Rattus norvegicus: one gene and its partners. The protein of the gene in region 5 binds, or shares a complex with, the protein of the main gene of each other region. Each region holds a gene or a part of one and is shown on either strand. Other genes may lie near its edges. A codon is read from its position in the direction of its gene.

Region 1 (4,298 bases), on a different chromosome or scaffold from region 5:
ATTGCTCTCATCAGACAGTTAATGGCCTCTGGGGAGGAAAGAGAAGATGGAGAGGTCATTATAGCAGGTCCTGAGGACAGGAGGCAGACTATACTCCCTCAGGGAGATGACGGGCACATGGTTGCCTTGGCTTCAGGGCTCTTAGGATCTCGAGCAACCGGAAGGGTGGGAGCCCTAGACCCCAGGCAACCTAGTTGGACTGAGTATTTCTGCATACAGAGACATGCTGGGCACTTCTTCCCAGGGAGGCCAGCTCCCTTAGGCAGCCACACTTCCAGCTTGCAAGCAGATCAGGGCACAGTGGCACAGTCAGACTCCTATAGAGTTTGAATCAGACTATCACAGCCCTGCCATCAAAGGGCAAACTGCTAGCTGGGGCAGAGGCTATAGGGCTCAGTGTCTGACCTTGAAGACTGTCCTGAGTGAGTCCTATCCTTGAGTTTAGCCTGACTGGCCTCTCCTGCAGAGAAGGCTGGATGCAATGAGCACTGGGCCCTCTTCATGGGGGCTCTGCACCCCCATCTGAAGAGCACTGTCCTCTCCTTGGTGCATCCAAAAGGTCCTGGCCCTACTGGCTGCTTGAATAGCAAGCTGTACCGAACACCAGGATGGTACCTTCATTGTACCATTTCTTCTAAGATTTTAAATTGGGAAAAGGATTTTTTTTTTGAACAAGTTATTTGGAGGAGAGAGGCATGAGTGGGAGGCATCTTCTAGCAGATGGAAATGAACTCTCAGTATCTTTTAACCACCAACTCAGGAGGGGGTTGGGAGAGGCACAGGGCCGGACAAAGGGTCTAGATGGACTACAGACCATGTGGTAGGAAGGCTCCAGGGCTCCTACTGGACTGAGTGTGCTGGGCTCTCTCGGGATGTGGATGCTAAGGTTGCTTCCTGTGGGGATTTCAGCAGCTAAAGCCTGTTGGCATGGGATCTGTTGAGGGGGCTGTCCCTGCCACAGAAGCAAGGGAGAAACATGGATTTACAGGGCCTTGGCTCCTTGCTCTAGGAACAGCTTGGAAAGCAGCAGGCTGCTGGCTGACACCCTGATCTGCTCTCACCACAGGGCTTCTGATGCCACAGGTCAGTTCCTACCCTCCTGGGTGCTCAGCCTGTAGAGAGAGGCTTACAGAACCCAGCTCAACTCTACATTACTCTGAAGTCCCTGGCATATGCAGAGCTAAGCAAGCACCGTTCACAGTAAAACAGGGACAAACTGCAAGCCCCAGCAAGGAGAGGGGATGGATGCAACAGCGTCAGGTGCTTGTACATAGTAGGCATCCAAGAAACCACAGAACAGTAGGCGTGGGGTTAGGTAGAAGACCCGTGAGGACAGACTATTTCCCTGCCTATGCACACACAAGGCAAGCTATAAAAGGGTTAAATTCCCAGGCCGTCAGCTGCTGCTAATGGAAGTCTCAGGTGGGATCCCTAAAGAGCTGACGGATGAGACCACAGGGCAGGTGATCAGACAGGTGAGGGAGATTCCTCCTGAACAAACTGGGTGTTCAAGCCTCCCTGGCCTTCCTCCACCTGTTTCCTAGGACACTGGCCACATGGGAGAAGCTCTAGAGCTCAGGGTGGCTCCCTCCTGGATATCAGAAGCTGCTATGTGCACCTCGCAGTAAGTGGATGCTATCACCGAGGAGAAAATAAAGCCCTGAAGAGTAACAGGGCTAGGATGCAGTTTCATGGTGCAGCACAAGGCCCTGGGTTTCTTGGGGGAGGGGGAAGTGAGGCTCAGGTTACCCAGGCATGTCTTCCCCTGCTTGGCTAATCTTCTCTGTGAGCCCTGACTGGCCCTAGACAAAATGGCTGTTATCTTTGCAAATGCAGTCCATTCCCCTCATTTGTGGAGCTGTGATTGGGGAGGGTACCATGGCAGTGGGGCTGAATGTCACTCAGCTGTCATCCCTCCCTGTCCAGCATGAGTCCCTAGCCCTTACCATCAGAAGCTCTCCTCTCACAATTGTGCTAGGTACCCTCTCCACCATTACGCCCTTAGCTGCAGCATCCTCAGTGCACATCCACATTAGCCTGCACGTGTTGAGGACAGGGCCCATGCCTGAGTCTCTGGAGGAAAAGGACCCAACCACAAACTGGGAGGTACAGTTCTGTTCAAAGAGCTCATGATGCTAGGGCATCCTTTAGGCTGGCAGCCACTAGCACCCAGGAACTGGTCCTCCCAGCCCCTCCGGATGGAGCAGCAGCTGAGGGGCACAGATGCTAGGCAGTGTCTCCAGGCCAACCAGTCCCCCAGGGAGCAAAAGGGGAAAGCATGAGGAGGGCTGTGTGGAGGAAAGGACTGCCCTGAGCCGCTGGCTGTATCCAAGTCCTACCCAGCTGAGAGGCTGTCTCTCTCTGCTTGTCAGCCCAGGGACGGAGCCAACACAGTCATCTCTCTAACTGGGAGTGGCTCTGTCAACAATGGCAGTTATTCACTGATGCTGCAGAGAGCATGGGGTGCGTGTCTTCTCCCTAGAGGTGAACCTTTATCCAAACACTGAGCACCTCCTTTTGAAAAGAATAGTCACTTCTTTTCCATTCTTCTAAAGAAAAAAATCCTAGATATTTTAAAAATTATTAATGAGACTTAGTCTCATACAGCCCTAGGTGTGCCTCAAACTCGCTTTGTAGCCAAGGGTTGAGGATGGTTTGTTTTGAGTACCTGAATTTTCTGCCTCTGCCTGCCAAATGCTTAGATGATAGGCATGAGCCACCATGACTGCGTCAGACACCTCTGCTTGCTAAAAGTTAAAGTTAGCAATCTATGTGGCTCTAAGATTTAAAAAAGAAATCATTCTGGGGACCGAGATGTGTATAACACATTCTCAGCACATCAGAGGTCCAGGCTGAATCCCTAGCATCACAAATAAGCGAATAAAAATAATGAAAGCAGGGGTTGGGGATTTGGCTCAGTGGTAGAGCCCTTGTCTAGGAAGCGCAAGGCCTTGGGTTCGGTCCCCAGCTCCGGAAAAAAAAAAAAAAAAAAAAAAAAAGAACCAAGAAAAATAACGAAAGCAAACTCCCCAGCCCAGGAAATCCGAGTCTGAGGTCCCTGGGCTGTGCTGCGTCCAAACCTGTCCCCAGAGGCTCTGCTTTAAGGAACTGGCCTCTGGCAACTTCCCCTGCTTCTTCTTGGAGTGCAGGGAAGCCAGGTCAAGCAGAGCTCCACTTTACTTGGCTTGGCTTGGACTGCCCTGCCCCCTTCTGCATGCTAATTCTGACAACTGAACAGCTTTGCCTGGTTTCCTGGCAAACAGTGGGTCTGAAATGGAACTCCCACTCCCAAATGCTCAAAGCCTGGGTGGGAGAGGTGCCACCTGCGGGGCAGGATGCCAGTGACAGCAAAGACCAGCCAATTCTGCAGTCAGGGCTTGTTTTGCTCCTGGCCTATCGTGTGTCAGCCACTGGAAAAGCCCAGATCTGTGCAGACACCTGAGGATGGGGACAGTGCTCACCTGTTCTGCCGTCTGTGGCTCCCACAGGCCCTTACCTTGGGGGTCAGCTTTCTTGAAAGCGTTGCCGGCGTCCACAAAGCAGGTGGCTGCATCGTGCTTGCTCTGGAGCTGTAGGTGCAGTTGGGCAGCCTGGCAGAAAGCGTTCCCAGCAGCTAGAATAGAACAGATTGGCCCAGCTTCAGTCACGGCCCCAGGAGGCACTTCGGGCTCTCAAGAACACAGCTAGAGTGCCAGGCAGAGGTCCAGATCAGCCTACTCCAGCCCAATGGCAGCCTTCGCAGAGCTTTCTGGTGAATCGAGGAGGTCAGAAAGCTGCCTTGGGAAGCCTAGGTCCCACTATAAACAAATGGCCAGGGTGAACACAGTACCCGCCCATCCCCTCCACCCAGCAACTCAAGAGCCTCCACTTCCACAGAGAGGAAGAAAAGGCAGGCAGAGCCGAGGACTAAAAGTACAAAACATCCAGGCTCTTGGGTTCAGAGACTCTCCTCTTGCACAGAAAAGTCTGGAACCTAAACAGAGAGCAAGGAGAAGATGGGGAGGGTATGAGGGGTGCTCTGGGAAGGTACAGTGAGATTAATCCATGTGACACTTCCCACTTGCTCCCTCCCCTAGTCCATTTCTTTCCTTAACTCCCCAAATCTCTCAGGTATAGCCCTACAATGAGTCCTTGCCTAGAAAGGGAAACAGGACAGCAAGAACCAGAGTCCTTGAAGACAGTGCTCATGCCCCAGACTGGCCAAGGGGAGAAAGCAGGGTCTGCCCCACTGTGGGCTTCAATTATCACCTCAGCCCAGCTAAGGTGCTACCTCGCTCCATGCTCCTCCAGTCCCAGCT
Region 2 (4,298 bases), on a different chromosome or scaffold from region 5:
TTTGCTGGAATGCAGACGATACTATATTTACCATATAATATATTATCAGCTCTCCTATATCTCAGTCAATTTACATAGTTTAAAATAGAACATCTTATTAAAAACATCTAGATATACACAGGTTAGGAAACGCTTACAACATACAAATACACAAACTAGAAATAAATCTTTAGCATACTGGTATATACAACAGTGTGATACAATACATAATTTCAGTCATGCTCTATCTACACATCATATTGCTTAAAAGAAGAGTAGATTTGGAGGGCAGTGGTATGATGGAGGGCATAAGGGCTTTCTACACTTAAATTTGTGCAAATTAAAACAGGATTTGAAGTACCACTGGATTGTATCAGGAATGCATGGCTGGAAACCAAAAGGACCCATATTACTGAGGTATTTACAGATACTGGCTAAAGAGCACTATGTGGGCAGATGCAGAAAGGCTTCGTTTTCCCTTTACTTCTTGACAGCCAGCATGGCATCAACCTCCTCCTCTACCTGCAGAGTGTGCCACTGTGCGATGGGTCGCCGGGGGTTGGCCAGCATGTCTGACCAGTGTCGCAGCTCCGCCCCAGTGCTGTTGTAACCAACGAAGACTTTGCCGATGGCGTCGTTCTTGCCAATCTTGTCATAGTCCAAAACAGTTACCACCACTTGCACTTTCTGAAAGAGGACACACGAATGCACAAGTGTCAGCCAACCCTGCAGGTAAAAGCCCTGGGACACACAGAACTTCCTTGGGATCTGAGGAACTAAGGATCCATTCCTGACCACCAGGATGAGGAGGCTGAGAACTCTTGGATATGAAGACTTCACCCTGCTTTTTTCATTGTTCTAGCTCGCCATTACCATCGCTGTAACTGACACACTCATTGTCACCGCCATCTTGTTACCTTTCTTGTGATGTGGTGGGGCAATGTCTCATGGACCTCGGACTGGCTTCAAGGTCACTATGTCACTGATGACCCTGAACTCCTGATTCTCTTGTTTCTACCTCCCAAGTGTTGAGATCACAGGAATGTGCCATCATGCCTGGTGGTCATCTTTAACACATACACATTAATCTTTATTACTTCATGTTATCTAATAACTTTACAGAAGGAATAATTCAGTTATTTTTCTCAAGCGAGCCTACTATTATTTTCACTGTACAGATATAGATGCTGGAAGCTCACGGAAGTTTTTTGACCTGTCTGAGGTCACATGAGGGATGAATGAGTTGGTTTCTATGCTGTTAACCACCGTGCCAAGGTACCTATGAGAGGTTGTGACATGGCTTTACGTGTCTTATTCACGAGTGTTATGGCATGAGGACCTAGGCCATTCTCTTTGTCTTTATTAAAACTTATGGAGTCATCATGCATTCTGATCTCATTTCAAGAGGTGACAGCCAACATTTTATGTGTAAGTAAAAGAATCTGACCTAATCGTATAATTGTGACCAGGAAATATGACAATACAGTTGAAATCTTTTAAAAGGGCAGTGACTAAAGAAAATATGCTTTTTCTTGAGTGTAATTTTCTTAATAAGCATTGATTAGTGTATTATTATGCTATTACATACTATTAATTAGAATATTATTATAGTATAAAAGGTATACTCTCTAAAGAGTCCCACAGCCCAGGAAGTGAATTTGGTAAGTCAGAATATGTGACGGTTCTGATTTAGATACTGGATATAAAGATAAAAGATTAAAATGCAGTAGCTATATCGATTTGTGGCCAGCATTAAAGGGAAGGAAAACAGAACTGTGACAGCCAGACCCTGGTGAGGATACACTGAGTTATGCTTCTGTAGACTTTGACTCTGAGGACCAAACTACTCTAGCAGTGTGTTTCGAGACACCACTGAGATACATCTTTGGAACAGCAAAAACAAATACTTCTTTTCTGTAGAGCAATTTCCTTATTACATGTGTTTATCATTTTCTGTGTGTGCATGTGTGCAGGGATATGGACCACACTGCACATGTGGAGGTCAGAGGACAACTTGCAGGAGTTGCTTCTCTTTCCCTACCACGTAGGTCCTGGGAATCCATCCCAGACTATGATGATGACTGCAAGTATCTTTATCCACTCGGCCATCTCACAGTCACTTCTGTGTATGGACTTCAGAATGTAGTGTAAAATGTAGCACCATTTTCTATGGGCAGCCTTGCTATGATGCCACTCTTAAGACAATTGCCTTTCTAGGCTGGGAATATGGCTCAGTGGTAGTTGGGTCATCCCCCAGTACCACAAATAAATAAAATAAATAAATCACCTATTTACTAGGTAGTGTTTGAGAACAAGGATAATGTTGGTATGTGTGGCTTTGACTCTCAGATCTTGTCCCAAGCAAATGCACCATGATACAATAACTGTCAGGGGCCAGCCTGGGAGCATGATGTGCAAACGTAATAGATGTTTTCATATTTAGGGCAAACTTGATTATGTTACTGAGGGGAGAGCTGGTTAGGGGCACCCTTTGGACTATTTTTGTAGGGGCCTCCATAGTTTATTTCTGCATTTTTTGATGGTGGTGAGGATGATATTTTCTGCTTTCAGAAATTAGCATACTTTGCTTCCTTCACAAAATGTTTCAGAAGGGTTGAAAAAGACAGAAGACAGACGCACAATCTTATAATCCTAGCCTAAGAAAAACTAAATAAACTGTTTTAGCAGGTAGAACACTATTGTCTTTAAGGCAGTGGTTCTCAGCAAGTGGGTAGAGACCCCCTGGGCAGAGGGTTGAACTACCCTTTCCCAGGGGTCATACATGATGTCCTGTATGTCAGACATTTACATTACAACTCATATGACAGTAGCAAAATTACAGTCATGAAGTAGCAACAAAATTAATTTTATAGTTGGGGGTCAGCACAACATGAGGAACTGTATTAAGGAAGGGTCACAGAATTAGGAAGGTTGAGAATCACTACTTTAGAGAAATACAAAGAAGGGGAAAACAATGGTGTAGGATTGAGAGGGGGTGGGGGAGGGAGAGAGGGAGGGGGGAGGGGGGGAGGGGGAAAGGGAGGGAGGGAAGGAGAGGGGAGGGAGGCCGGATGCAGCCAGTGGGTGTTTGCTACTCCCAAACCCAATCAGCTTCTTCATGTTGGGCTCATGTTCTCTCTCCTTTAAAATGCTGCCCCAAATCGAAATTTTTATTTTGTTTTTAATATGCCTCCCTTTCAATATATTTGTCCTTTCTGTACTTCAAAGGTTGAATGTATTTTTATAGGTATAGGATTCTAGCCCAAAGGAGTAAGTTTACAAGATTTTTTTTTTCATCCCAATATCTTGTTTGGTGGAATTAAAAAAAAAAATGCCAGGAGGTGTTAGTTTCCATAGGAATAAGGGCCGAGGACTCAAAAAGTTCACTGAGCAGATATTGCAAAATAAATTATGGTAGAAAACTGATGTTTCAAGGATTGGCCAGAAGGTCTGAAGTGCTCACAGTAGTGAGCTTAGAGTAGTGAAGTACATAAGTACATGTAATTTTCTAGCATGTGAAGATATGTATGAGCTGGTTATATATCCACCACGGGCCAACGTGAGAAGGGACACTGGCTATTTTTTCCCTACAGAAGTGGATTTCTTATTGTGGCCTGGGAATGAATAGGCAGGTTTGTTCTCCCTTAGGTTTCGGATTCCATAGACAAACTTAATGACCTAGCAAAGTGGTTCTGATGGTTTTCTGTTTTCTACGTTCCCTCTGCTCAGCAGAAGGCAGCTTGCTGTACCAGCTGAAGAGCCAGCCCTTCTCACGGCTGTGTGTCTGTCATGTCCTGCTTGGTGGGGCTCAGGCACCGCATGAACGGGCATGGGCAGAGCCCTGGTGACTCACAGGGTCATTTATGGGATCTGAAGGCCTGCGACTGGGTAGAGGGACACACTCATGTCAGACCATACCTGGATTTGCTCGAACGGAACTTCAAAGCTGAAGGACTCGTTGTAGTAGGGGTTGAGTGTGTTCTTCTTAATCGTCGTCTTTTTCTTCTTCAGCCTCTTACCGTTCTGCATCAGGTGAATCTTCACGTAGGGATCTGAAAGACAGACACAGGAACTCTAGAAGCTCAGGCGTGGATTTTTGTTTTATCTGAAACATTCTAGTACGATTTACTGTGTGTGTGGTGGTATGCACACCACACTGCATACATGCATGGAGGTCAAAGGACAGCCGTGTGGAAGTCTGTCTTCTTCATCTACTGAGTGGACCCTAGGAATCAGACTCAGGTCATTAGGTCTGACAGCAGGAACTTTCATTGTCTGTACCTTTTTTGTCATCCAGAGCCACATGTTTTAGATCATAC
Region 3 (4,779 bases), on a different chromosome or scaffold from region 5:
CAGTTTGAATCCTAGCTCTCAAAGACTCACCCTGGGCCCTGCATGGGAAGCTTTACATGAAGAGAGGGACTCCCCTCACTTTGCTGGGAGGTTCTAAATGGCTCTTGGCTTCTTTGGGCTTTGACGTTCTTTCTCCACCCTGAGCACTTTCTCGTAGTTGGCAGAAGCATCACACCAGGGAGCCGGGATGCTGGTGCCATGGGAACATAAGTCCCATTGTGTATCGCCCCCCTCTCCAGTGATTTATTTCCTGCGTGTTGTGACTTTACCTCAGAAAGCCAGTCTGGTTTGGGGGGATGGGTCTTTGGCAGAGGACCGTGTCTGTTCTGGAACTCCTAAAATTCCCAGCCCCATCCCACTCCAACCACATGCTGCAGATTGGTGTGCACCAGACTCATTGGCTGTCGAGTCCTTTATCTCTGTCAAAACATTTGAATCAGAGGGTGGGTTATAGATCATGGAATCAGAGCAGCCCCTAGTGTGGGCATTCTTATTGCTACCTTAGACTCATTCTTTTTGCCGTGAGGAAGTTGTGGTGGTCATGTCTTCAGTTTGCAGTCGGCAGGGACATGGTAACATTAAACGCTATTCCTAAGGTTGCCCAGACTCCCTGAAATCTGTCAGATGTGGTTGTTTAAACAAATCACCCTCCCCTTCAGCCGCTCCTAGTTTTCTTTTTTTTTTTTTTTTTTTTTTTTTTTTTGGTTCTTTTTTTTGGAGCTGGGGACCGAACCCAGGGCCTTGCGCTTCCTAGGTAAGCGCTCTACCACTGAGCTAAATCCCCAGCCCCCGCTCCTAGTTTTCTTAGCCTTGTTTTCTCCTGCTACCTTCTGAGCCCGAGTTGCAGACTTCAGCAGCAATGTGGATGATCCTGAAAACCACAGAGAGACGCACAGGTACCGGCGAAGATCAGGGGTTGTTATAGCCCATTTGACAATATTAGCCTAAGTGTGCAGTGAGGTAGCCTGTATGCAGTCTGACAGAATCGTCCCGGTTCCTCTACTCTGGCCTCCTCCTTTCTCTGCTGCAGCCATCCAATAACTTCCCCTGTTCTGTCTGGGGTTAGTGGCTGCCCTTCCCCTCCGCTTGCGTCCTGGTGCTGTCCGTGGTACTGACTGCCAATCCGGATCGTTCCCAGGCGCCCAGCCTCCCCTCCTGGCCTCCCACCTCTCCTCCCGCAGGCAACGCGGCACAATGCATCGCGGTGGGAGGCAAGCTGGGCTCCCCTGCGCCGGGAAGCGGCTGCCCCTCCCTCTGGATCACACAGGGTTTTTGCAGTAGGTGACAGCAGGATCGGGCACCAGGGAAGCAATTGATTCGTCTACTGCCCGCATCCCAGAGTTGCCTACGCTGCCCAGAGAGGGAGAGAGGAAAGAGAAGAGGGGAGAGAAAGAGAGACTTACAAAACCTTCCTTCCATGTGGAGTAGTCTGAGTGAATCACTGCCCACCGTTGTAGACTCCAACTGTACTTAGTTTTCTCCTTTGACGGGGGTATTTCTTTCTTTCTTTCTTTTGGCATGATTTAGGGGCATGCATTCATGCTGGTGACTTGATTTTATTTTGGGAAGACAGGGAGAGTCAAATGCACAATTTTCTTTCAGGCATATCTGCTGGTCTTTCAAGCCAAGTCGCTGGCACTTAACATCTCCCCCCGGCAGGGAGTTGGCAAGAATTTGGCTCACGCCTTCTGCTGCAATCCTCCGTTGTCTTGGTGAGTGACATTCTTCGTGGTGGTCCTGCAAATGGACTAGGGGATCTCAGGACCCTAACTGAGATGTGCAATGTTCATGTATGAGCTAGGAAGAGGGGAGCGGGGAGGGTAGGGCTGGCGATAACTGAACACGGTTCTTTGCCTGCATTCTGTAGGCTTTTATCAGCAACACTCCAGAGACAAATAGGATTTTAGTTCAGTGCCCAGGGAGGAGGCAAGAGTGCGCCTGTTCAGGCGACGTGAGCAAGAGAGTGGCTTCTACTCAGTTTGTCCTCTGCAGCAGAAGCTGAGGAAAGTGATTGGCAGCTCTTGAATGAGTTAACCCTTCATGGCCAGAACGGCACAGGGGGCCTCTAAGTGTTTGATTTGGTGGGTAGGCACCTTAGTCCTGGTTGGGAGAGTCACCTGAGCCTAGAAGGTTAACCCTTGCCTGAGCATCCTGGGCCAGCCTTTGCTTAGGACGGGGCTCAGACTGGGCTCTCCGCCAGGACTGGCTGAGTAATTGAATTGTGGTGGGTTCTGCAAACTCAGCTGTCCTGAGATGGGAAAGCGAGGATCCATGAAAGCGCCACCTTCTCGATTGGCATGAATGGTCAAGCAGTCAGCTGCTTGCCGAGCCGAGCTGTGGATGCTCTATTTTTTTTTTTTTACAGGTGGTGTCACCTGTAAGAGATTGGATGGGGGGTATGTATGTGGCTGTGGCACAGGGACTCTGTCACTGAGCCCGTCTCCCCACTGAGAAGAAGGGGAGCATGACATTCCAGTCCCTGGTCCCCAGTTCCAGGACAAACTGTAACCTCTATCCCAGTTTTTTTTCTCTGACATCTCAGTGAGGGGTAACTCCATACCAACCTGTTAGCCAGTGGGAAGCAGAGGTCCCTCACCACGAAGTCCCAAAGCTCGAGTCTTTAATTTTTAAAATGCTTTTGCCGGTAATCTGTGATCTATGGGAGAGGATTCTGCTCTGCTTTCTGCTTTAATTACTTCCTACCTTTTTGGGGAAATGAAAGTCTTTATTTTTAGCCCCGCAATCCACTTCGGCCGTCTCTGTCCGCTGGAATTTCTTTAGGAAGTTGAACTTGGGAGGCAAGAAGAAGACAAGGTTAGCCCCAGGGACTAGCAATCTGGAAATGCTGAGAGGGTCTCACCCAGCCCCAGGGCCATGAGGGGCTAGGGAGCGCAGGGTACAAGCCTATGTGGGCAGGACACAGGAGGAGAGTGTAGCCTGGTGGTCAGTGCCAAGGAGAGGGTCCTCCGAAACCTGGCTGCCAATCTGGGTGACCTTGAGGAATCTGCCTCCCTGGGAAACCATACACATGAATGGAAAGTGAAGAAGCTTGGCTTGCTTGAGTGAGACACTGCAGGCTTGCCCACAGACGATACTTCAAATACTGGACTTTCATGTTCTTTGGTTGGAATGGAATGTGGCTGGACTTTGGAATGGGGAGGAGACGGGCATTGAGGTTCACTGTTGCAATGAGAGTGAATCCTTCACTTGCTGGGCTGTGGGGAGGATGCAGGGGGCCTGGAGATGATCAACAGAGCCCCAGGAGCCCCAGGCAGTGTCACAGATACTGTGGGACATTTCCTTAGTCAACTTCTAGTTTCCAACCCTGCAGCACAATACAGCTCCTTGGACCAGCCCAGGCCCGGGCTGTCCAGATACAAAGGCTTCCTGGCCATCCATCTCCCTTGGTGTGGCCAGGAGCCAGGAGCCTGCCTCCTCCCTGTCACATCTGAAGTGGTGCATTGGGGTGCACCAGTGAGAGAACCTTCCGGAATGATTCTTGGCCTTGGATCAGGGCCCTTGAGTCTCGGGGCCTCTCTTCTCTCTCTGGGCCTCAGTTTCTCCATCTATGCAATGAGTCAGCTGCCCTGGGTGACTCAGGCTTCTTCCAGAACCTCAGATCTTCGTTACAGCCGCTGCTATGGCAAGGAGCGGCCATACTTTTAGGGAGACTTACTATTGTTTCCCTCTGATCCCACTGCTGGGGGAGACCCAGAGAGGGAAAGCAACTTGTCTAAAACCACACAGCAGGTCTTGGAATCCACCGTCATGGATATCAAGGCATTCTCTTACCCTTACATCCTGGTAGCCCCTATTTCTGGTCCCCGGCCTGCGGCGTAGAAAGGACGGATGCCCTCCAAACCTGTCTTGGGTTGGGAAGCTGAGCCCTGGAGACGGATAAAGTTAATCCTTGTATTTGGGGCTGCTACTATCCCATCAGCATGGAGGAAGGGGGTTCCCAGCAGCTCCTGGTGCCCTGTTCCCTCAGCCACTGTGTCTGATGTGTGTTTTGGGGTGGGTGGCTGCTGGGGGAGGTGGCTTGTAGGACATGGCTTATATAGGACATGGGAATCTTTATTAACACCTTCGCTTTCCTGTATCACTCACAGACCATGGCTTTCCGTCAATCCCACACCCCCCTCCCCTACACACAGCCAACATATGGTCCTGTCTTTTCCTGCAGGGGACCGGGGGCAGGGTGGTCCTACAGGCAGACAAGCTGGAGTTGAGGTAGTAGGGTTTATTTCTGCTAAGAGCTGTGGCTGAACTTGGATAAAAATAAACCCCGGGACCCAGTAGTGGTGGGCTGGAGTCGACGCATCTGAATTATTCAGCTGCCTCCCAGGATGGAGAGGCTCATGTGTTCAGGGGAGGAGAAGGAGGAGGAGGAGGAGGAAGAAGAGGAGGAAGAGGAGGAGGAGGAAGAGGAGACTACACTGCAGATACAGTCCTTCCTTCCTGTCCCCCACCCTTCCTTCGAGTCTAGGAACTGCAGTGTGGTCACTGGAGGTGTGTGGTTTCAGGCAAGTTCTTAAGCCCTCTGAGCCTCGGTGCCTCTCTGAGCCTCACCTGTAAGGTGTATCACACTGAAACAGTATTGTAGTTAAGACCACAGGCTAGACCACGGGCCCTAGGCCAGCTTAGATCTTGGTTCTAGCGCTTTCTATGTGTGTGGTCTCACAGCCCTGGACTTCACTTACCTCATCTGTCACATCCCTCATGGTGGTGGTGGTGGTGGTGACAGTATTAGGATGGTTAAAACTTAATGCATGCCAGCTA
Region 4 (4,746 bases), on a different chromosome or scaffold from region 5:
GGTTGCTTGGAAGATAAGGATCTCGATCTTACATTAACCCTTCTCATGTAGCTCAGAGAACCCATGAAGTCCCAACGCTTACGTATAAGGATGACCTTGAACCTCTTAACTGTTTACCTAAAAAGCTTCTGTTGAGATTACGGGTGTGCCGACAGGCTGGGTCTTATCTGGTTCCAGGGGATCAGACCCAGGACTGGATGTTAAGACTAGCACCCTGCCAACTAAGCTACTCTTCAGCTCTACTAGGTAGGTTTGTTTTTTTTTTTTTTAAAGACCCTTTCCAGCTTACCTCACAAAGGCTTCCCTGCAGGTATTTTTTTCCGTTACTGTTCCAGTCCTCTTCGCTGCAGAGTTCTGCTATCTTTCTGGGAGTACTTCACTTCTGATCTACCTCAGAATAAGTGCCAGTTTCACACTCTGAACCTCCCACCAGGAGCCCACTGCAGTTTCTGTTCACTATTTAAGCGCAGCCCCACACTCTCCAGTTGGTCTGTGCTCCTACCTAGAATGTTTTTTTTTTATATCTACTACTCAACCCAGTACCCACTGAAGTGGCGTGCTTTATTGCAATACTCACCTTTGCGAGTTCACCACGCTGAAGTGGAAAATACCTTAGGTGTATTTTACTTAATGAATCCACCAACTGAACTTATTTAGTCTGTTTAAAGAGACTGTTTGGATTCTTTGCGACGTATACTACTCACCCCCTTTGAACAAAAGTTGAGTATCTCTTCTCTGCTAGGACCAGGGAATTACAGAAATGAAGAAACTTACAGTTCTCAAAGTCCAAGGCTCCCTTCAGGAATTGTAATAGCCGTGCAATGGCAAATACTTGTCATGTGAGAACCTGAGAGGGGATTTCTTCCAAACCCTGTGGTCAAGACTCCAAATGGACTTCCTACTGCCTCTTTCTCAGAAAAGAACTTTGTCTCCTCAGGTCCACTAGATTATTCTGGAACGTTAGGCTCATAAGCAGTTTCTAACATGGTCACGACCCAGAGAGAAGGTATGCGGGCTCATAGTAATGTAAAACGCACCCATTCTCACTCTAAACTGCCTTTCCAGGGCTAGAGACAGGGCAGCGGAGACACTGCAGGAAGCTGCTGTGATTCCAAGGCGCTGAAGAGCCCAGCCCAAAGGCGCAGGCGCCGCGCTCTAGCCCCGCCCACTTGTCCACCGAGAAGCCCGCCCACTCGTCAGCGTGGGCGCTACTTCAGCGCAAGCTCTGGCCCCTCCTACTCTGGTCAGCCCGGAGGTTACAGCCCATGTAACCCCGCCCATTTCCGGCGCGCCCTCGGCGGCTGAGAGCGCATCGCCGGTTCCGGTCCTGCCCCTGTTCCTGACGTCACCGCAGCCCCGCCCATCTCCTCAGCCTCGGTTGCCTGCAGCGCAAGTCCACGGACCCTCGGCCATTCGCTGCCGCTGCCGCCGCCGCCAAAATGTGAGTGACGCGCTGCGCTGCGAGGCGAGGCGGGCTCCGGGGGCCGTGGCCCACTCCTGGGACCCGCTTCAGGCGCGGTGGCTGCTGCTCGGCACTCGGACTCGAGTGGAGGCCTCGCGGGCCTAGGTGCAGCGTCCCGGGCCCTGAAGTGGGCGGCGGCCCCGCGGTGCACTCTGCCCCCGGACGCTGCGGGACGAGTCTTGGCGCCGCGACGTCCCCGAGTGCTTCGAGGCCGGCGGGCAGACGCGGAAGGGCGGGGATGGGGGCACCGGCTGACCGAGGAAGCGGCCGCCCCACCCTGCCTCTCCTTCCTCGAGAGGGGCGGGGGCGCTCGCCCTCTGCGCCGCGGTGCGGGGCAGGAGCGGGAGCCCGGGAGGTGGCCCGGAGCTGAGGCCCAGCCCATGGTAGACCAGCGTTTGGCGTCCTCAGAGGAGCTCTCGCGCTGCTAGCGCACCTTGGCAGCGGAAGGTTTCGCTTCCGTTTTAAGCAAACACACTCTTGTTTTGAAATTGGTTTCTAATAGTAACCTTCAGCGGGAATTGATGTATCTACTTCTCGAAGTTGTCACTACTTAAGATGTACCTGGTCAGACTGCTGTGCAAATGACTGTGTCCCGTCCATGCATGAGAGAATTAAAGTGGACCTGGTTTCACTTCAGCCAGCTGCATGTTTTATCCTAAGTTTTAATAAGATGAGGAGGATAGTAATACCCTCTTCATAAAGTTATCAGGCTTCAAAGAGGAAAAAAAAAACATGCATAGTGCTTCCAGAGCACGGCCCTTAGCTGTTTAACTTTCGGACCCTGAGTTCTGAGACAGCCATCAGTGTTGTGTGTCCTTGATGGTGGACACAGTGCTGACTTAAAAGAACTGTTGAGGGGTTGGGGATTTAGCTCAGTGGTAGAGCGCTTGCCTAGGAAGCGCAAGGCCCTGGGTTCGGTCCCCAGCTCCGAAAAAAAAGAACCAAAAAAAACCCAAAAAAACTGTTGAGTCAACCCTGGGGTGACAGTTGTGTACGAAGGCACAGGTTGAGCACTGTCTTAGATACAGGAAGAGTTTAATGGAGTTAATAAGGACTTAAAAGCCAGAGTAGTCATGAAGAGTGGGGATGAATGAAAATACAGATTCACTGAACCAACATGAGATGACTTTCCAACAGAGACAATTGCTTCAGCCACCTTCCCATTCACAGAGACCCCTCGGTTGCACTACTTCAGCACATTGGCTGTTCTGTGATTGTTCCTAACCATAAGGCAGTTCTTGCCACAGCAAAAAGGTCACGAGACTACTGAGTGCCTTTAATCATCTGAGTGCCTTAAAGCAAGTTTTTTTAAAAAGAGGACTTCATTGACACAAAACAGATCTTATTTTGCTTCAGACTTTGGTCACTATGAAGTGATAGTCTTTTTTTTTTTAAGATATATTTATTTACTATATATAAGAACACTGTCGCTGTCCTCAGACACACCAAAAGAGAGCATCGGATCCCATTACAGATGGTTGTGAGCCACCATGTGGTTGTGGGATTTGAACTCAGAACCTCTGGAAGAGCAGTCAGTGCTCTTAACCGCTGAGCCATCTCTCCAGCCCCAGTGATACAGTCTTAAGAATTATTGAGGAATTATAAAAACACATTAGTGCCTTTATTTCTTACTGCAGGGCTTTAGGAATGATTGCAGTATAAGGAGTCAGTAAGACTGAATCCCAGCGGGGCTGGGGATTTAGCTCAGTGGTAGAGCGCTTACCTAGGAAGCACAAGGCCCTGGGTTCGGTCCCCAGCTCCGAAAAAAAGAACCAAAAAAAAAAAAAAAAAAAGACTGAATCCCAGCATAACAGTTTGTACACACAAACATGCCACGGGATACTTGTGAGCAGAGAACAACCTCACATGGCAGCCCTTCTTTCCACCTTAGTAGAGACGGTATCTCTTGTCCAGTGCTGCACGTATCAGGTGAGCTGGCCCTCAGGCTTCCAGGACTCTTGTGTCCACCTCCCATGTCGTGGTCGGAGTGTCGGGATTATGTTTGCCTCATCAAGGGCACCAGGAATCACAATGTACTCATACCTGTGACTTTATACCTTTCAGGTCTACAGGGGTGCCTTCAGGGTCCAGTGCTGCCACTGGCAGTAATCGAAGACTCCAGCAGACACAGAATCAAGTAGATGAGGTACTGCTCTAAAGTTTCAAGTGTGACTTTTAAACACACATGGGAATTCTCTCTAGAATTTTATTTGGAAAAAGAGTCATTGGAGCTAGAAAGGTGTCTCGGGTTGAAAGAACATGTATTGTTCTAGCAGAGGATCCACCTGGATTCCAGTCACTCTCATCTGGACCATGAAACTGCCTGTAATGGACTCCAGTGGCACATGCATGTTCCCTCACAGACACACACATAACTCATTGTTTTTTAAACGTTGGGGGGGGGGGGGAAGCATCACTGACATGTGAGCATAAATTTCGAGTATGTCAGAAGTCATCTTTCTAAATGTGTATTTGCAGGGCAATAGTAAAGATTCTGTGAGAAACTCAAACCAGCATTTCCATATTCTTTTCTTAAAGATTAGTTTTCTTTTTATGTATATGATTATTTTGCCTGAATGTTCTAGAAGCCATCTGCCAAGCACAAAGGAGACTCTTCCTGGTTTCATACTAATTTTTCTACTATCAAATCACAAACCTAAAACATATCCGAAAGTTTGTCCCCAGAGCCACTTGTAAGATAGGGTAATTGGATTGCTCAAGCCAGGAGCAAGTCTTTCTGAGCTGGGTTTTGTTTTGCTCCCAAATTGTTGTGTGTCTTATAGCAGGATTTACTAGTTATCTGGTATAGGCAGGTCTTTGTAGAAGCTTTCTCTGATATTTGTCGAAGGAGCCATAGAAGGTGGAACTGCTGTAGTCCCAGCTCTCCCTGGAATTCTTGAGCTAGTGGAGTCCTATGGCAACTTTTGTTTGGGTATGTACGTGTAGAACCACGGTGAAGAGCCTGTGAGATGGACCACTGTTTCCATACTCTTTTTATTAAGACTTAAGTGTATGAGGTTTTTGCCTACATGCATGTATACTGTGTGTGTGTGGGGGGTGTGAACAGTCTCTGCAGAATCCATCAAAACCCTTAGAACTAGAGTTACAGAAGGTTGTCAGCTGCTGGGAACTAAACCCACGTTGAACCATGTCCCCACTCATATACATATATAATACATACACACAATCTTTCTACTTTTTGCTGTCCTAAAACTAGTTATCTTAGATACTATTATTAAGTCAGACAGTAAGATTTTGCTAGGATGGTTTCTTTATGAACTTAA
Region 5 (4,957 bases):
ATTCCTTCGAGCTTTATTATAATGAAAATAAGAGCTAGAGTGGCAGCTGAGGGAGGACCAGGCATATTTTTTTTCTGTCGTACAAAATTTTCAAATGTTGAATAATTTTTAAATAAGCAAATTGCAGCAGCAATACTCCAGGAATCTGGTTTTAATAAAAATCCAAACACCATTATCATCGCAAACATTAAGATTTCAAAATATCCCTTGGATCTGGGTATCTTTCCGAAAAAGCGAATTGTGCTCCTCTGGTCCACACAATCCCTTTACAAGTCTTCCCCCTCCCACCTCGGCTCCCCGACCATCTTCACCTACAATTAAAAGCTTTATCACCTAAGCCTGCTTTTAAAGCCAGTGAGCTTGTGTGTGTGTGTGTGTGTGTGTGTGTGTGTGTGTGTGTGTGTGTGTGTGTGTGACTGAGACGGTGGGGGGCCTGTGTGGCGGGGTAGCGTTTGCACGTTGCTTTGTGTGTGTGTGTGTGTGTGTGTGTGTGTGTGTGTGTGTGTGTGTGTGTGTATGTGTTTCTAAGAGAAAAGGATTTTCCATCGCCCAAGAGGCCATCAAGTTTTAAGATTGCAAGGCACGACTTCTAATCGCATCCTCCGCGGAAAAGTACAAACAGTTCCTGAGAAGAGGTCCCCCACCTCCCACGCGCTCCCCAGCTCTCCCTCACTGCCTAGAACCCGGACAACCTCCCCAACACCTGTGAATCATCCAGAGGCTGCACCACCGAGTTATTTGCATATCGCCGCCCGCCCTCCCCAGCTCCTGACCGCTCCTGACGGCTCCTGACGCACGACAAGCGAAGACAGGATTATGTTGTGTGGTTATTACTTCTAATCTTTCATCTGAACCAGCAGAAGTGGACGTTCTTGCTCATTCCAGCCCCCTCCCCCTCCCCCTCCCCCCGAGCTTCAGTGGTTTGGCCACTGCAAGTGCCAGGGGCTTGTGTAATGAGTGAGTGACACTCCAGATTTCTGTCAGGTCCTAGCCACCTTCCCTCCTGATGTCTGGACATGCATGCTTCGTCCTCTGGACATGGTCTAAGAAACCCGAACATCATCCTAGGTCCGGACTGCAAATTCAACCGGATACAGCGTCATCTAGTCATCTATAAGCCCTGAGCAAACAACTCACAACTCAAAGCCCTGAGACCGCAAAGGCAAACTAGCAGGGCTAACTAGCTTCCCTCTCCCTTTTCCCATCTCCAGCGTTATCTTGGCGATAACTGCTCTGACGTACTTTAAAAGAAAAGTGTGAGCCTTTCCCCAACTGGCTATGATTAAATGAGAACACTAAACCCGCAATGCTGCTTTAATACAATAACTACTCATAAAAATAGCAACCTAAGTAACCTGGTCAGGCAAGGAGCTGGTGAGAGCCAAGGGGAATGCCTCTTCAGACAGACCCCCTTCTCTGGAGAAAATAAATCACAACAGAAATCTATCCCAATCCCTCATATCGTTACCCTTCTATTCCTTTACCTTCCTCTCGTGTCTGTGACTCAACCAAAGACAAATCATCAGGGGAACGTTTTACATATAAATATGTATGTATTTACATTATTGTAATTGTATATACATTCCAAACACACCTATATACATACATATATTCACATATGCATGCACACACAAGGAAAGGCATAGGCCATCAGGAAAACAGTCGCAAGAAATGTGTGTTTCCCAAGACAGTGCTAAAATGGAGTCAAAAGAATCGCTCCATTTGGATGTTTATAAAAGATTGAAATAAAAAGGTTTGCTGCAAAGCGCTCGGGGAGCTGAGTCAAGCGCTCCGCACCTCCCGGCTCCTCCCCTACCGCCCCCAGCCACCTTCCTCCCTCCGCCCTCCCCCATCACACTTCCTCCCCGCCCCTCGAGGAGCCGGCTATTAAAAGCTGCTGACGTCAAAGGAACGGCCATCTTTGATGAGGGCAGAGCTCACGTTGCATTGAAGACGAAACCTCGGGGAGGTCTGGAGCTGTCTTTCCTTCCCTCCCTACCCGGCGGCTCCTCCACTCTTGCTACCTGCAGGGATCAGCGGACAGCATCCTCTGAAGAAGACAAGGTAAAGAGCCCCCTCCTCCGATCCTGGCCCTGGCCCTGCATGGCTGCATACACAGAAGGGACTGCAGCTGGCAGCCCAAGTGAGCCTGGGTAAATACAAGTAGTGGTGCACTTAGGGTGCGGTATTCCCTGTGTGCTCGTCTGCCTAGATTCTTGCCTGGGGCCACATAAAAGTATTTTTCAGGTGAGCTGTTGGGAGAAGGAGTGAATGGGGACACTGCAGGTGGAGTGGTGGAAAAAATAGCGAGGATGTGTATAGAATAATAACTTACTCTTTTGAAGCAGCCGTGGGACCCTCTTCCATCTTGCGATGCAGTTTTGAGATATGTTTAGGTTATTAGGCTTGCGGTTTTTTTTCCTGTAGACTAGAATTTAAAAGCAAAACATGATCTTGTCGTTCGTTCCAACCCTATGATTATGACTGTAGTGTTTAGGGCACTGCTACCCAAGGGAGATGAGAAGGCAGGGTGTGGGCGCTGGGGAGGCGAAAGGAGAAGGGGGGTAGTTCCCGCCCTGGGCAAGCTGAGCTGCCGCAACGGTAGCAGCCTCCACGTCCCACAGACTTGATTTATGCCGCCTGCCCCAAGTCAGCTGCAGGCGGGAAGGGGCTGCAGAGTGGCAAAGCTCTAGGGGGTTAGCGCGGTGGGCTAGGCTGTTGGGGTGCGTGGAGGGAGCTCAGCACCCTGGACAGGAGTGCTCGGCGCCCGTGTCGGCGCCCTGACCTTTCAGCACCGCGGACAGCGATCCGGCTGCAGCGCCGCATTACCTGCTGCAGAGCCGCCTGGCTAGGGCTGGAGGCCAAATTTTCTCTCTGAGATCCAGATCTTAGAGAAAGTCTTAATAAAGCTGGCGTGATAGATTAAAAGAAAGGCAGAAGAATAAATCCTGTCATCGGGGATTTATTTACAGACAATTGCCTGCTCTCTTCCTCACCTCCCACGTAGCTTCAAGAAATAACAGACTACTTGTAGAAGCCTTCTGTATTTCTCCCTGTGCCTTGGTTAAGAAAAAAAAAGCAACAAAACAAAACAAACAGAAAAACAGAAAAACAGAAAAAGAAAGCATACTTTTAAAAACGGTCACTTAGCCTCCATTATGACACGAACACTGTAATTTTTTGTTTTTAACACGGGGTAGATATGTTGATATTAGGTGGGCTCAAGTGGGCTTATATGATAATGCGAGTACTATCTAGACATAGGACAATTGCATCCCTATGGGTTTTTTTTTTATCAAGAATATGGGTTATCTGAACTAAGAAGAACTAATTTTAGGAAATAAATCCCTTGGTTGCTCTCCCTTTATTCTGAAAACTAGATAGAAACAAGCATATACAGCCCCGAAGAAATTTCAATCTCTCTGGCCATGGTTTTGGAGTTAGTGAATTTCATAGCACTGGTTGTGGCAGCTCTATTGATGTAGATTTTGACATCCTTGGGAGAACTTAAAGATGTCCTTCAGGGTTATACATAGGCTGAAGCAGGAACTGACCCCAAGATTCACTGTAATTTCTATTATGGCACTGAAGGATTTTGCTGAGGTCATGATAAGTATTTTCTTCTCCGAGGCTTGGAGACTCTGCATGAGCAAAAATTGTCAGGATAATACATATCTGTTCAATTTAGATTCCCATAATTGTCACGAATGTATCAAGACTAAAAAAGATGATATGCTTTCAGCAGTTGTTAAATGAGAATAACAGCTTCACGTGTAAAGATGTATATAATGCATTAAAGAAATGTTAGCATGAACCCCTTTAAAGACCTTCAAAAGGTCTGGAATTGTGTCTACTTAGTTATAACTCCAATCATCTGTCTTCCAAAGGTACTAAAATTCCCTGTCTATTAAAAAGAATTATTTTATCTCCAGCTATTTATTCATGGGTTCTTTTACCTTTTTCTGAAAATCATGTGTTTCCATGTTTGTATATGCCAGTATATTATTGTGTGTAGATGGAAATTGCTTCCAGTGGACATTTATTCCAGATTTTTGTAGCTGCATGGGAGTTTATAACTCTGAAATCTTCATATATAATAAACAACTATGTTTCATTGATGGGAGGTGGGGGAGAAATATGGGGAGGAGTCTATTTAAATGCTTTACCGTGATAGTGCACATCCAGACAGTTCTGCGCAGTTGCGTCAAATGCAAAGCCTAACACTGCTTGAATTATGTGCTTGAATGTTAGTAATTACTGCTGTGTTTACTGTAGAGTGGAAGGCAAAGGAAAGGGGTACAGCACTGCAGTGAAGCTGGCCGAGGGTGCAGTGTGGGAGAAAGAGGCAATATGAATAATTATACAGCTAAATATAGGCCAGCTAGCTGAGAAAATAAAAGGAAACGTACCTGGAACATAGATTTAACATTTATGTCATGGAAAAACTTCAGTGGGAAAAATAGAAAGATTTTTTCCTTCATTTTAAGTTTGAATTTTGAAAATCCAGGACAATATGGTGAAGGAGGTGGGAGCAGAGAGGCATAGGGAGAATCCAGGAAACAATCCTGCAGACACTGGGATGGGACCTGCTTGTTTGTTTATTGTTGGTTTCCACATTTGGCATTCCCAGCACAAAATAATTTACAGTTTCTACAATCTCTTCGTGGTACAATCTCCCAAGAATTGATAATTTAACTTTTACTTTATAAAACACCCACATCTCCAAGGCAGGCTGCCCCTTAATTTGTTAGATAATATTCCTAAACTCTGGAGTTAACCCCATAGTAAAGGTTATCAGCTGAACAATTGATTTCTTCTCCAATGACACCTAGCAACTGCATCGCAGCTGGCCTTCAGGAGAACTGTTGCCTTTGACCACTGTAGAAATAAAAATAATGTAATCAAGAGATTGAATGAGGAAACAAAAGAAAATCCTGATTTTTTGTAAATGATGCAC

Evidence for each region.
Region 1: the proteins of Snap25 (region 5) and Napa are in contact, whole or in part, in a cryo-EM structure (PDB 6MDM), measured with the Rattus norvegicus proteins. Residues at the interface, in NP_112253.1 of Rattus norvegicus: Glu37, Lys40, Asp41, Ile44, Arg45, Leu47, Asp51, Glu52, Glu55, Gln56, Arg59, Glu62, Gln152, Asn159, Met163, Asp166, Glu170, Thr173; in NP_542152.1 of Rattus norvegicus: Lys122, Glu155, Glu156, Ser157, Asn158, Ser159, Ser160, Asn162, Pro196, Leu197, Leu198, Tyr200, Ser201, Lys203, Asp204, Ala234, Phe235, Ser236, Arg239, Ser268, Ile269, Ser270.
Region 2: the proteins of Snap25 (region 5) and Syt1 are in contact, whole or in part, in a crystal structure (PDB 5KJ8), measured with the Rattus norvegicus proteins. Residues at the interface, in NP_112253.1 of Rattus norvegicus: Lys40, Asp41, Ile44, Leu47, Val48, Asp51, Glu52, Glu55, Gln56, Arg59; in NP_001028852.2 of Rattus norvegicus: Cys277, Arg281, Lys288, Val292, Leu294, Glu295, Asn336, Tyr338, Asn340, Arg398 (codon at 534), Arg399 (codon at 531), Pro400 (codon at 528), Ala402 (codon at 522), Trp404 (codon at 516).
Region 3: the proteins of Snap25 (region 5) and Rph3a are in contact, whole or in part, in a crystal structure (PDB 5LOW), measured with the Rattus norvegicus proteins. Residues at the interface, in NP_112253.1 of Rattus norvegicus: Glu38, Asp41, Ile44, Arg45, Leu47, Val48, Met49, Asp51, Glu52, Glu55; in NP_598202.2 of Rattus norvegicus: His617, Ser618, Ala621, Ile648, Ser649, Ala650, Lys651, Gly652, Leu655, Tyr659, Leu662, Lys663, Lys665.
Region 4: the proteins of Snap25 (region 5) and Vamp3 are in contact, whole or in part, in a crystal structure (PDB 5KJ8), measured with the Rattus norvegicus proteins. Residues at the interface, in NP_112253.1 of Rattus norvegicus: Asp147, Leu150, Glu151, Val153, Ser154, Ile157, Leu160, Arg161, Ala164, Leu165, Met167, Gly168, Ile171, Asp172, Gln174, Asn175, Ile178, Asp179, Ile181, Met182, Ala185, Asp186, Asn188, Lys189, Ile192, Ala195, Asn196, Ala199, Thr200, Met202; in NP_476438.1 of Rattus norvegicus: Ser15 (codon at 3,567), Arg18 (codon at 3,576), Leu19 (codon at 3,579), Gln21 (codon at 3,585), Thr22 (codon at 3,588), Gln25 (codon at 3,597), Val26 (codon at 3,600), Glu28 (codon at 3,606), Val29, Ile32, Met33, Asn36, Lys39, Val40, Glu42, Arg43, Lys46, Leu47, Glu49, Leu50, Arg53, Ala56, Leu57, Gly60, Ala61, Gln63, Phe64, Ser67, Leu71, Lys74.

Annotation. Positions count from the first base shown.
Region 1 is NC_086019.1:85,925,133-85,929,430, reverse strand, and holds part of Napa (alpha-soluble NSF attachment protein), read right to left. Parts: intron 3,614-4,298; coding exon 3,497-3,613; intron 29-3,496; coding exon 1-28. UniProt on the Homo sapiens protein: Required for vesicular transport between the endoplasmic reticulum and the Golgi apparatus. Together with GNA12 promotes CDH5 localization to plasma membrane.
Region 2 is NC_086025.1:45,702,057-45,706,354, forward strand, and holds the end of Syt1 (synaptotagmin-1), read right to left. Parts: intron 4,032-4,298; coding exon 3,898-4,031; intron 667-3,897; coding exon 460-666; 3' UTR 172-459; downstream 1-171. UniProt on the Homo sapiens protein: Calcium sensor that participates in triggering neurotransmitter release at the synapse. May have a regulatory role in the membrane interactions during trafficking of synaptic vesicles at the active zone of the synapse.
Region 3 is NC_086030.1:41,202,222-41,207,000, forward strand, and holds the start of Rph3a (rabphilin-3A), read left to right. Parts: upstream 1-1,340; 5' UTR 1,341-1,492; intron 1,493-1,602; 5' UTR 1,603-1,712; intron 1,713-4,779. UniProt on the Homo sapiens protein: Plays an essential role in docking and fusion steps of regulated exocytosis.
Region 4 is NC_086023.1:166,788,165-166,792,910, reverse strand, and holds the start of Vamp3 (vesicle-associated membrane protein 3), read left to right. Parts: upstream 1-1,388; 5' UTR 1,389-1,439; coding exon 1,440-1,441; intron 1,442-3,526; coding exon 3,527-3,608; intron 3,609-4,746. UniProt on the Homo sapiens protein: SNARE involved in vesicular transport from the late endosomes to the trans-Golgi network.
Region 5 is NC_086021.1:144,492,678-144,497,634, forward strand, and holds the start of Snap25 (synaptosomal-associated protein 25), read left to right. Parts: upstream 1-1,917; 5' UTR 1,918-2,064; exon of another isoform or gene 2,065-2,247; intron 2,248-2,335; exon of another isoform or gene 2,336-4,957.